3 linked regions of the Alligator mississippiensis genome follow. The protein of the gene in region 2 interacts with the protein of the main gene of each other region in a pairwise test. Links are inferred from orthologs where the notes say so. Each region holds a gene or a part of one and is shown on either strand. Other genes may lie near its edges. The genes, in order: CCDC120, MID2 and TSGA10.

Region 1 (3,744 bases), about 9.8 Mb from region 2:
AGGGGCCTGCTAGAGGGTGGAGTTAGTTTAGAGAGGTGGGAGTAGCCAATCAGGAGGCGGAACCACATAAGGGTGGGGTTAGCCAGGGAAGACCACATTAGGACAGAAGGTGGGGAGAGAGGACTATGTAAGGGCACAGGGGGCGGGGCTAGCCAGGAAGAACGAAGCAACGCAGAAGGGGCGGAGTTAGCCAGGTCGGACCATAGAAGGGCAGCAGGGGGCGGGACTAGCTGGTGTGGATCATAGTGGGGGGGGGGCCGGATGAGGACTACATTAAGGCACAGAGGGCTAGGAGGGCGGGATATGGAGGGAACAAGGGGGCGTGGCTTGGGCGAGGCGGGGCATTCCTTACCTGCAGAGGTGATGAGTTGCCCTTTGACCTCCATGCCGGGGTCACGACGCCCCCAAATCCATGACGCCGGGACAGAGCCGGTGCCTGCGGGAGGTGGGGGACGGCAGAGAGGCTGAGCAGATAGGAAGTCAGGAGTCCCGGCCCCGCAGGGAACCCAGGCGTCCGGGTCCCTGCTCACCCCTCTTGGAGAACCCAGGCAGCCGGGCTTGCAGCCCCCTCCTCACCCCAGAGGACCCACGCATTCTAGACCCTGGTTTTCCCCACCCCCGCAGAAGACCCAGGCGTCAGAGACCCTATACCACACCCCCAAGAAAACCCAGGTGTCTGAGCTCCCCCCCTCAAGTTCCTCCGAGAGTCCCTGTTCTTGGACAGCCGAGGCGTGCGGGCCCCCGTCATCCCCCAAGAACCCAGGCGTCCTGGGCCCCCTCCCCTTGGAGGACCTAGACGTCCGAGCTCCTAGTCTCCGGACCCTCCCAGGGAACTCAGGTGCCCACCCCGCAAACCTATTGTGCAACAGACCCAGGAATCAGGGAGGCTCCTGGCGCAGGGGCCGCGGAACCCAGGAGTCTGGCCCCCTCCCCGCTCCAGGCCAACACGTCCTTCGCCCTGAAGGCTCCAGGTGGCGGCTTCCTGCTCGTGCCTCCACGTCGTGCTTCCGGCGCCCAGCCCCCAATTCAACCCCTCTTGTAGAACCCAGGCATCCGGGATCCCAGCTCCTCTGGTCTCACTCAGTACACCCCCATCCCCTAGCCAGAGAACCCAGGTGTCCAAGCCCTCCTGGTCTCAAACCCTGCTCCCCACCCAGGTGTCCAGGCTCCTAGCCACCCCTGGTCTTGCATTCCCAGATTCCACTCTCTCCTAAGGAACCCAGGCATCCAAGCTCCCAGCCCTACCCCTGCTACAACCACTAGTCTCCACTTCCCTCCCAGAGAACCCAGGTATCCAGGCTTCCAACTCCCCCCCCCCCCCCAATGCAGGTATTCGGGATCCCAGCACCCCTTGGTCTCACTCCTCTCCCAAAGAACCTGGGTGTCTGGGCTCCCAGCCACCGCCAACCTCACCCCATGCCCAGAGAACCCAGGCATCTGGACTCCCAGCACTTGACCCCATCTCCAGCTTCCACACTGCTGTCTCCTGTTCAGGGGCTAACCTGAGGTCCTCCCCCTTTAGCACTGTCCTGGCCCTGCTCCTAGTATGGCCCCGTGACTGGGCCCCAGTCTGGAACTGGTCACCTAGGGCCTTCCTGAGGCAAGAAATGGGGTCAGGCCCTGGGTGTTTCCACCTCAGAGCTAGGTGCATCTGGGCCCCTTGTTATATTTCCTCATTCTGGGCTGCTGGACCTGAGCTGAGTGCATCTGGGCCTTCCCTCTGTCTTATTATACTCAACCATTCCCTGACTTCCCCACCCCAGAGCTGGGTGCATCTAAGACTTGTCATACTTGGCTGTTCCTAACTACTGGACAACATGGGCCTGGTTATACTTGGCTGTTCCCCGGCCATGGCCACCCCAGAGATGGGCACATCTCGGCCTATATTAGGCCTTGTTATACTGGGTTGTTCCACCCCAGAGCTGGGCACCTCTGGGTCCTTCCCCAGGGTTGTTCTACATCCTGGATGCCCCACCCCAGAGGTGGTTGCATCACCTGCCCTGATTCATCCTAGTTTGGGACAAAGGTGCCTGCCAGGCCCTGGGTGGGGACTGTGAGTCACCCTGATGACAGGGTTCCCCAAGGGGAGAGTTGGGGGCTGGGAGCTCAGATGCTTGGATTCTCTCCCCATCTTTGATGGGAAAAGAGCCCATTGTCCTTCCTGCAAAATCTGGGGATCCCCCCTTCCCCACAAAAACCCAAGCATCTGGGCTCTCTCCCCCCAGCCCCCGAAAACCCAGGTGTCCAGGATCCCAGCCCCTCCAACCCAAGAGTCTGGCTCCCAGCCTCCCCTGCTCTCAGTCCCTAGCCCCTCCCCCGCGAGAACCCAGGCGTCCCGGGCTCCCTCCCGCCTTACCTCACTCTGCAGTCTCCGGGTTCGGTGGGGGAGAGGTCCCTGGGGAGGGGTTTACGGATCTATCCTCCCACCCCCAAAACCCCCGCTCTGCGGGACGGGGGGCAGGTCCAGGCCGGGAGGTAGGAACCCAGGCGCCCGAGATTGGTGGTGGTGATGGAAGGGATGTGGGTCGTGGGTGAGGGGCACCGCCGGACTATGGCGGGGGGAGGAGGCGGGTTCCGGGCAGGGAGTGGAGGGCACCGGGGAGCTATAGTAGAGGCTGCAGATCGAGGATCCAGGCAGAGAACCCAGGTGTCCGAGGAAGAGGTGCGAGGAAGAACCCAAGCGTCCGGGGCCCCGGCGCTGGCTGCAGCTGGGGGTGGGGGTTAACCCTCCTGGTGCTGGGGAGGAAAGTGGGTCCGTCTGCGCCGGCGCAACGTCGCCATGGCAACCGGGGGCGGGGCGCACTCGGGGAACTCAGGCGTCTGGGTACCCGTCCCTCCCTATACATGACAAGGAACCCAGGAATCCGAGTACAGAGCACTCCCCCCGCCCCAAGTCCTGTCCAAGAGAACCCAGGTGTCCAAGCTCTCAGCTGACTTCCCTGTTAAGGAACCCGGGTGCCTGGGTTCCCAAACCTCCTAGTCCCAGAACCAGCCCCCATTCCTCTGCCAGAGAACCCGGGCGTCTGGGCTCTCTGCCTGCCCTTCCCTCCCCCCAGTGCATACAAGCATAGCCAATGCCCCCCTGACAGAGACACTGGAAAACGAGCCCCCTCTGCTGGCCACTGCCAGCACTATACTGGGGGGGCTGCGGGTCGGGAATGAGGGAGACCGCTGGCTGCGATGGGGTGCGGGTCGGGAGTGAGAAGGACCGCGGGATCCGGAGGCTGCAGGTCGGGGGCACCGCAGGACTATGGCGAGGGGGGTTGCAGGTCGGAGTGAGGGGCACCGTCCCGTGGTAGTCGGGGACCCCCCTTGGGGCACCCCGCTATGTCAATAAGGGGGGGGTGCTTCCCCGCCTGACGTCACTTCCCGTGGAGTTCCCCCCCCACCCCGCGCTGTTTATCGCCTCGGCGGTTCCGTAGCTTTGGCTTTTCGGGGTCCCCCAGGCCGGATCGGGCCCCTCTTGGCCCTGAAAACAGGGTTTGCTGCCGCTGTAAGGGGGGCAGGGCCAGAGGAGGGGGCGGGGGAGGATGTCCCATGGGGCGGGGGAGGGGTCCCAACGCCCCCCCCCCGAGCTGCCCCCCAAAACCGTCTACGTGCTGCTGCAGGAGCCGGACCACGCCGGGCAGCTGCTCAGGTAAGCGGGGACGGGGGTCCCCCAGCCCCCCTTAGCGGTGCCCCTCACTCCTGATCCGCAGCCCCACTTTCCTACCCCACGGGCACCCCTAATTCCCAGTCTTGCCC
Region 2 (3,744 bases):
CACCTGTGATCTAACTTGTAAGGGCATGATGTTGTCTAGGAGCACACCAACAACTCCATGCCTATGCCGAATTCTAGAGCATGCAATCTGGAAACCTGGTTGGGCTGTGGCAGATGCGTGAATGGGGATGATCTGCCTGAAGTCACTAACAAAAACCAAATGGAAAGGATCACAATTTGTTTTAGAGAGGGAGCAGACCTGGACCACAGTCAAAAAGAAAGAGGCGGTGCTTAACGCATTAGCACCTAGGGCTTGAGAAAATGATGGGACACCAAAACAGAAGTCCCAAATAAAATCCCCAGAAATTTGTGCAACCCGTGAGGTTGAACTACCTTGGAAACATCTAGAATGGCCTGCATTATAGGCATAGAATACATGGTTGATACCAAATGCACAAGTAGAGCCTGAAGACTAGAACTTAAAACAGTGTTAACTCGGACACATTTCTACCTTGTCGGATATTTACTTCAATCACGCTTTGCCGCATTTCAAAACCAGTAATAGTCAGTCAAAGAACAGAAAGCCAATGAAACACAACAGTAAAATATTATTTAAAATACCAGCTGGTTATGGACTTCACCACATAAAATTATTATTACTGTCCTTATAGGCATGAATTTTCTCTCACCTTGCTGTCAACTTCAGAAGAAAGCTGACTAAATAACAAGAAACCCATTAACTCACATTTAACTAACCTTTATTGCCACTAAAGCTGTAGAACATGGTTAGCAATGAAATCTGAGGCAAGCAGACAGTATACTTACTGTACAAGGCTCCAAGCTCTACAAGACTCCCTGCTGGCAACCAGGGAAGCTTGAAACTAAAATGTGTCATTTTAAAATTTAGTCTCTAAAGCAAAAGATAGAAAGGATACAAATTCAGACTCCCCCTGAAAAATAAAATCAGAGAGAGTGAGAGAGAAATCATGATTGAGAATTCAGGCAGTACCAGGAGCGTATAAGTGGCTGAGTGAGAACTTTGCTTGGCTCAGGGACCGAGATCAGAAAAGCTACCAGCAGCCAGCTGATGATTGAATTATAAAGCTATTCCCAACTTTAGCATTTCAGAGCCAACAGTAATACCTGAAAAGGAAATGAGGTGTCTTTACTTCCACGGGTGTAATCTGGATTTGCAGGATGTATCCAGCTTCCTTGTCGGGGGGTGGGGGAGGGGGTGGAGAACAGCTGGGCAGCTCTAGCAGTGCGCACTAATGGAGCCTTCCTCCCCACAGAAGCTGCTTGAAAGCTTTTGCCCTCGCGCTTTGCAGGAGGCAGGCTGGGTATTTAGGAAGCAAGAAGAGGGTGAGAAAAGAAGAAGTGGGGGGAGAGGGGAGGGGTGATCACTTCGGCCCCGTGTCTCTCTGACCTACCCACCCCAGGGAAGACTCGCCCAGAAGAGAAAGGATTTTAATCGAGCTCCATGACACAAACAGGCCGGAAATGGCAAACGCAAACAAACAAGCAACCCACACGCAGACCCGAACCACGCGGCAGCCGGGCCCGGCTCGGGTTTCACCGCGGCTCCCTCGCAGCGCTCGCCGCCAATGCGGAGAAGGCAGCCCCTGGGCTGCGGGCGGTGTGCGCACGGGCTGGGGGCTGTGGCAGCCTGATATCCCGGAGAGTCGCATCCACCCCGCCATAACCGAGACTACCCCACTCCCTTCCAGGAAGGGCAGCACCCCCGGGCATGCACGGTTAACCCCTTCCTCCCCCAAGCGCGGACACCACACGGTGCCCCCCCTCCCCTCCCGGCCGCAGGCAGCAGCTCCGCAGCATCGCCCTCGCCCTGCGGAGGCGGGGAGCGGGCGGCCCGCAACTGTCCGCGGAGCCTCACGGCCTGCCCGGAGCGGGGGACGACCGGCACCGCCGCCGCTTCTCGGCGCCCGGCTGCGCTCCCGCCCCGACCTCCCCCGCCGGGCGTGTCCCCGGGGCCGGCAGCGCAGCGCAGCGCAGCGCAGCGCAGCGCGGGGGGCTCCTACCTACCAGCCGGTTCCAGCAGCCGCCCCGCCGCTGCCCGGGCATCTTGGAGGCGCAGGAGGGGGACGGCGCGGGGGAGCCGGCGAGCGGGAGCGGCGCGGGCGAGGGAGGCAGCGAGGAGCGCGGGCGGGGAGGAGGGAGCAGGGGGAGGGAGCGAGCGAGGGAGGAGGCAGCCGCGCTCCGTCCCCGCCGCCGCCGCTCCCGCCGCAGGTGAGGGCGCTGCCGGCCCTGGCGGGAAGCTTGTCCCGTCCGGGCCCCTCCCCGGACACCGGCGCGGGAAGCCCTCCCGCCAGCCCCCCGGGCCGCCGCCTCCGGGCAGCCCAGGGGGCGCGAGCAGTGCGGTGAGGGAGTCCGCCCGGACGCCCCCCACAGCTGCCAGGCTCCCGGGAGCTGCCTCTTCCGCTCCCGCACGGCTGGCAAGCAGCGGTCTTCAGCCGGGCTGCTGCAGAAAGGAGCCTCGCGGCTGCTGTAGCACTCGCTGCCATGAACGGGGCAGTCAGCGCCTCAGAGTGACTGTGCCAGGCTCCCTGCAAAGGCAGGAAGGCGGCTGCGTGGTATGTACACTCCAGGTTTTCCCTGTAACTGGCCCTAAACAGCCTCTTTTCCTTTCCGTTTAATAACAGCTGAGACCCAGAGGAACAAACAGCTGTGGCCCCTCATCGCCCTTCACAGGCCAGGCACGGTCAGGAACAACTGCATGCTTTGACACTCTCCTCCCCCAGCTCAGTGCTCGAAGGAAGTAGTTGGGGCAGGTCCTGCTTTGAGCAGGGGCTTGGGCTTGGGCTGCGCTGGATGACCTCCTGAGGGCCCTTCCCACCCTGCTGCTGTGTGATACTAAACCAAGATTCTCCGAGCCAGTGCCATTCTTTAGAGCTTTGCTCCACCGGGCCAATAAAAAAGAACTGATCCTGCCAGCAGATCTGGGCAGGATCCTGTGTCCAACCCCACCCTATTGCCAAGGGCATTCCTGCAGGATGAGTTTACACAATTGAAGTCAAGGTTTCCTACTATCCAGTTGTTATCACACTCCGCATGAGAAAAAGGAGTGGGAATGGAACATTAAAGAACATTTTTTTCCTTGTTCACAGGCCAGTAATGATTATAAAGGTAGTCACACGCACACATGTCAGGCAAAGGCTTTAAATGAGATCCATGGGGTGTTTTATTATTCATTATTACAGTAGAGGAGATACTTTAAGTTGAGATTCAATTTCTTTGCAGTGAGTCTTTTAATATGTTTGCTTTTCCATTGGCAGATACAACTGAGAAATAGATTCGCTTTTTTCTTACTTTCTGGTTCAGAAAAGGGTGGTGATGTCCTGATGTACTGTACGTTTTAATACATTAGAAAAAGTCTTGGATACATGTGCATTGTTATTGCTATTTATAAAGTACATCTACTTGTAACACCCAAGGGAAACGAGGATGGGCGACCCAGTGATATATTTATTCTTCCATAATGCAAATCCAGGTCAAACATTATTTATATTTGATAAATAAGGAATTTGTTTCTTTACAAATAAATACGCTAAGAAACATGTCTAAGCCTTGAACCTATGTTGCTTTTAGGGTGAAGCAGGAAGGGATTGTATTAGTGATTTGAAGGAGGTCCTTGGAGCACAGAACCTAGGTTTTATTTCCACCTATGCCCTTAAGTCACTGTGGCTTTCCTCCCTGCTTTTTCATAGTGGTATAACTGGTACATGTTAGCTGCCTCCCTGACTATTTGAGTGGAGTCAAAGCACTTACAGTTTTCACTGGATGCATC
Region 3 (3,744 bases), on a different chromosome or scaffold from region 2:
TATAGTGTATAGGGCGAATCTGGAGCAGCCTATGGGTGCAGCACATGGGGCTGGGGCCAGCACACGCTGCTTGTGGTACGCACGAGTGGAATCAGAATGCTTGCTCTGCACAGTGCATAGGGCCAGTACAGGGTGTGTGCTACAAGCGGCACACGTCAGACCAGCCCTGTGCACTGGCCCTGATGCACAGGGCTGGACTGTAAACCTGATCCAGCCCACAGACCAGACCAGCACCCCTCATCTGGCCTATGGGACCAAATAAGTTGGATACCCCTGCACTAAATGAGAGAAAAGGAATGACACAAAATAGTACCTCTCAGAAGCTATTTATTGTTTAATTCTTCTGAATAAGCCAATTCCTTCAGCAAAACAAGACTGATTATTCCAGTATGATTCAAAATTGAGTGAATGGGGGATGTGCGCATCAAAAATATGCTCTGAACCTGCAAACATTTACGAAAGTGCTTAATTTAACATTTGAACATGATCATTTACCAGATTGAGCTCTCATAGATAACTGTGGAGCAGTGATGATCAGGTGTACTGAATGGTATATATAGCTCAGGTGTCTAACTCACCCCACCCCCCCAGAGCTGGATTCAGACCACAGGGCTCTTCATAGGTCAAGGGTGGAGGAAGGGGGCTTGAGGGGCAGCAGTCATTTTCCTCTGCAGCTGACATGCCTCCCCAACCGGGCTCTGTGCCCCAGACTTCCACTTGCCCTGCCCCTGAATTCCTGGTCTCTCTGGGAGCCCCACAGGCCTGAGCCATACATTTGACACCCCTGAAAGAGCCAAATTCAAGGATCTCAAAGGAGATGACACAGCAGGGAGAGGCTATGATTTTTCAGAGGCAGACCTGAGATAACCACTGAAATTATATTGAAAAACTTTAGAAAAGGTCTTGCCACGAACTCACTGACAAATCTGACCAAACATGGTCAAACAACTCTTACACAAATACAGAAAAAAAAGAAGATAAATGCTAGCAATTCCAGACCTGGTCATTTTCTTTGGATTCAATAGGGCTTTGTTAGGAGCTTCAATGACCAGGACCCCAAATTTATTCAAATCACTCACTCCACTTTTTTCACTGCTTTATGCTAATCCTTTTACAGCACTGAATTAAGTCAATGAGTTCACAAAAGCTTCTGCTTTATATACATATACATTATTTAGTTAGTCTAAAAGTGCAAATTCTACCTTGACTCCAAACTAACATCTAACTACCTTTCCCCAGAGGTGGGCAAACTATATCTGTCCAACCTCCCCCCCACAAAAAAAACAACCCCAAAACAAACCAACCAAAAAACCAAAGCAAAGCAAAAAAACCCGTGGTTTCTCTGCAAAAAGGAAGCTCAAGGCTGTGGTTCTCAACTTTTGACTTGAGGCACCCCCGGTGAAACAAGGGTCCCAATGGGAAATGCCAGCTCTGAGCTCCCATTTGTCTTTTCACTATACAGAAAAATAATCGAGCAACTCTTCAGTTGCAAAGGACTCAGAAAGCCGGCATCAGGTCAGAGCAGTTTTGACGCTATGGAGATTCCTATTTGAAATCTCCGGGCTTCTCTAGTGAATCATGTGTAGAGGCTTGCATGCCCAAGAGTGCGAATTGTGTGCGGCACCCTAAAATTAAGGCGTGCCACCCCAGGTTCTTCCACTGCGTGTCCTTGCTTGGGAAGCATCAGGTTAAACTAAACAGCCAAGCAGAAGAAGCGCTGTTGGAAAAGGAGCTACGTTGCCCTTTTTTTCACTGGGGAGAGCTCAGAAAGACCACACCGGGACAGGCTGCTGCTAAGGCAGCTTGTGCTTTAGCTTGCAAATCAGGTTTGCGCACCGGACAGCGCTGATGCGGTACGGCAGGCATCCCGCGGCACCCGTCAAAGGCGCTCAGGGCAGCCCCGGGGCTGCAGTCTCCTTGTGGAGAGTCACTGCCCCCAGGTCTGACAGGGGCCTGCACAAGGGCAAGGAGAAGGAAAGGAAAGGAGCAAAAGGGAAGGGAAGGAGGAGAAGGGGAGGAGAAGCAGCAGAACAGCCGCATGTGCCCGGTCACAGCCGCCCCCGCCCCGGGGGCAGCTAGCCCGGGCGGGGGGGGCACCTACCTGCAGGCGGCTACCCGCTCCCCGCCGCTGCCGCCGCCGCCCGCTCATGCCGCCCGCCCCGCCGAGGTGTGCACGCGTGTGGGGGAGGGGGGGTCAGTGTCAGCCCCACCCCGCGGTACCTGCGCGGTCCCCTCCGCGCCCCGCCCCCCAACGGCCGCCCGCGCTCTGCCCCGTCGGGGGAGAGGAGGGGAGGGGCGCAGGGCTGGCGCGAGGGGCCTTGAGGCGCGGCTCCCGCCTTACCGCCAGGATGGGCCGCGCGGCAGTTGGGTTGCCCGGCGCCCGTTGCCATGACGGCAGCGCGCTCGGGGCTGCAGCCCGCCTCGTGTTCCCGGCTCCTTTTGCAAAGCTCCTGTGCGCGCAAGTGCAAGCTGCTCGCGATGGGCTGGGCAGCGCCGAGCACTGGAAGTGCACCAGGCACGCGCAGGGCTCTTGGGTAAATCTGAGCTCTTCATTAAGTCCTTGTGCACATTGATACTTTAATAACTCAGGTTGGAGGTATGATTGAAACAATCGGTGAACGGCATTTAAAAGCAAATTTATTAAAGTTTTAGGACCACTGGAGTACACAGGGCTAGACTTCATAAGTAATAACAAGTTTATTCTTATTTCAGATTGACAAACGAAAAATGGCTACGGTAGTGTAGATGAGAAGTTAAAGTGTGGCCTGTGGCTAGCAGAATTGAAGTCTGTATCAGCTGTGAGAAGAAAATGGTGGTTATGTTGAAGTCTAGCATTGTGTAGTGTAGTGGTCCTAAAACTTTAGTAAATTTGCTTTTTAATGCCGCTTACAGGTTGTTTCTATCATACCTACAACCTAAATTATTAAAGTTTAAAAGTGTACAAGGACTTTATGAAGACCCTGTATTAGGCCAATTACAACAGTTGAGAAAATTTGTCTCTGGGGTACAAACACCCTTCTTCATCTGAAGATATAATTTTACATTAGTAAGTATTTCAGCTGAAGAAGGGTGTTTGTACCCCAAAGCTTGCAGAGATGATTTTTTCCAACTATTTGAGCTGGTCTAATGAGATCAGATTTACCCAAGAAACCTTGTCTGCCTGTGTGCTTAGAGCAGGGGCAGGCAATTATTTCAGGTGGAGGGCCGGTTACTGAGTTTTGGCAAGCCGTGGAGGGCCGCATGACAGGCAGCCAGGGGCAGATAAATATTAATTTTCTAAATTTTTTAGGGGCCCCGCGGGCCGGATAGAATGACCTGGCGGGCTGCATCTGGCCTGCGGGCCGCATTTTGCTCACCCCTAGCTTTGACCAACACGGCTGTAACCAACACCCCAGACATGTATGTTCATGCATAAAAATGTAGAAGAATCCCCACGGAGCTAGTGTGCAGCCCAGAATAAGGAGCTGGGAGTAGGCTGGGATTAGGGGCAAAATCCTTTTCAGGTCATCCCAGACTACACGTCACCCCCTGAGGGTTTCTTTGATGAATGCCAGGCAGGAGACGCATGGTTTGGGGTTACACAGAAAGGGACTATGGAGCAAAATCCAGCCTAATCTCAGCTCTTTATTCAGGGCCATGTGTTTGATCCACAATACTATTTTACGTGAGTAAATATTTCTTCTTCAGCAATCCGTCATAGTGAAGGATTCCTGTCTTCCAGAATTACCTTACCTGTGGGTCAAC

The links.
Region 1: the proteins of MID2 (region 2) and CCDC120 interact in binary tests that used the Homo sapiens proteins (3 or more experiments, as listed by UniProt). The link is inferred for Alligator mississippiensis from reciprocal best matches to the Homo sapiens genes MID2 and CCDC120.
Region 3: the proteins of MID2 (region 2) and TSGA10 interact in binary tests that used the Homo sapiens proteins (3 or more experiments, as listed by UniProt). The two-hybrid records come from large-scale screens. The link is inferred for Alligator mississippiensis from reciprocal best matches to the Homo sapiens genes MID2 and TSGA10.

Annotation. Positions count from the first base shown.
Region 1 is NC_081831.1:28,697,596-28,701,339, reverse strand, and holds the start of CCDC120 (coiled-coil domain-containing protein 120), read right to left. Parts: upstream 2,731-3,744; 5' UTR 2,357-2,730; intron 1,228-2,356; exon of another isoform or gene 872-1,227; intron 437-871; 5' UTR 387-436; coding exon 353-386; intron 1-352. Other genes in the region: TFE3 (transcription factor E3), read left to right, coding at 3,531-3,637. UniProt on the Homo sapiens protein: Centriolar protein required for centriole subdistal appendage assembly and microtubule anchoring in interphase cells. Together with CCDC68, cooperate with subdistal appendage components ODF2, NIN and CEP170 for hierarchical subdistal appendage assembly.
Region 2 is NC_081831.1:38,494,992-38,498,735, reverse strand, and holds the start of MID2 (probable E3 ubiquitin-protein ligase MID2), read right to left. Parts: upstream 2,255-3,744; 5' UTR 1,979-2,254; intron 1,639-1,978; exon of another isoform or gene 1,470-1,638; intron 1,454-1,469; exon of another isoform or gene 1,083-1,453; intron 1-1,082. UniProt on the Homo sapiens protein: E3 ubiquitin ligase that plays a role in microtubule stabilization. Mediates the 'Lys-48'-linked polyubiquitination of LRRK2 to drive its localization to microtubules and its proteasomal degradation in neurons.
Region 3 is NC_081824.1:342,983,864-342,987,607, forward strand, and holds the start of TSGA10 (testis-specific gene 10 protein), read right to left. Parts: upstream 2,308-3,744; 5' UTR 2,150-2,307; coding exon 2,102-2,149; intron 1-2,101. UniProt on the Homo sapiens protein: Plays a role in spermatogenesis. When overexpressed, prevents nuclear localization of HIF1A.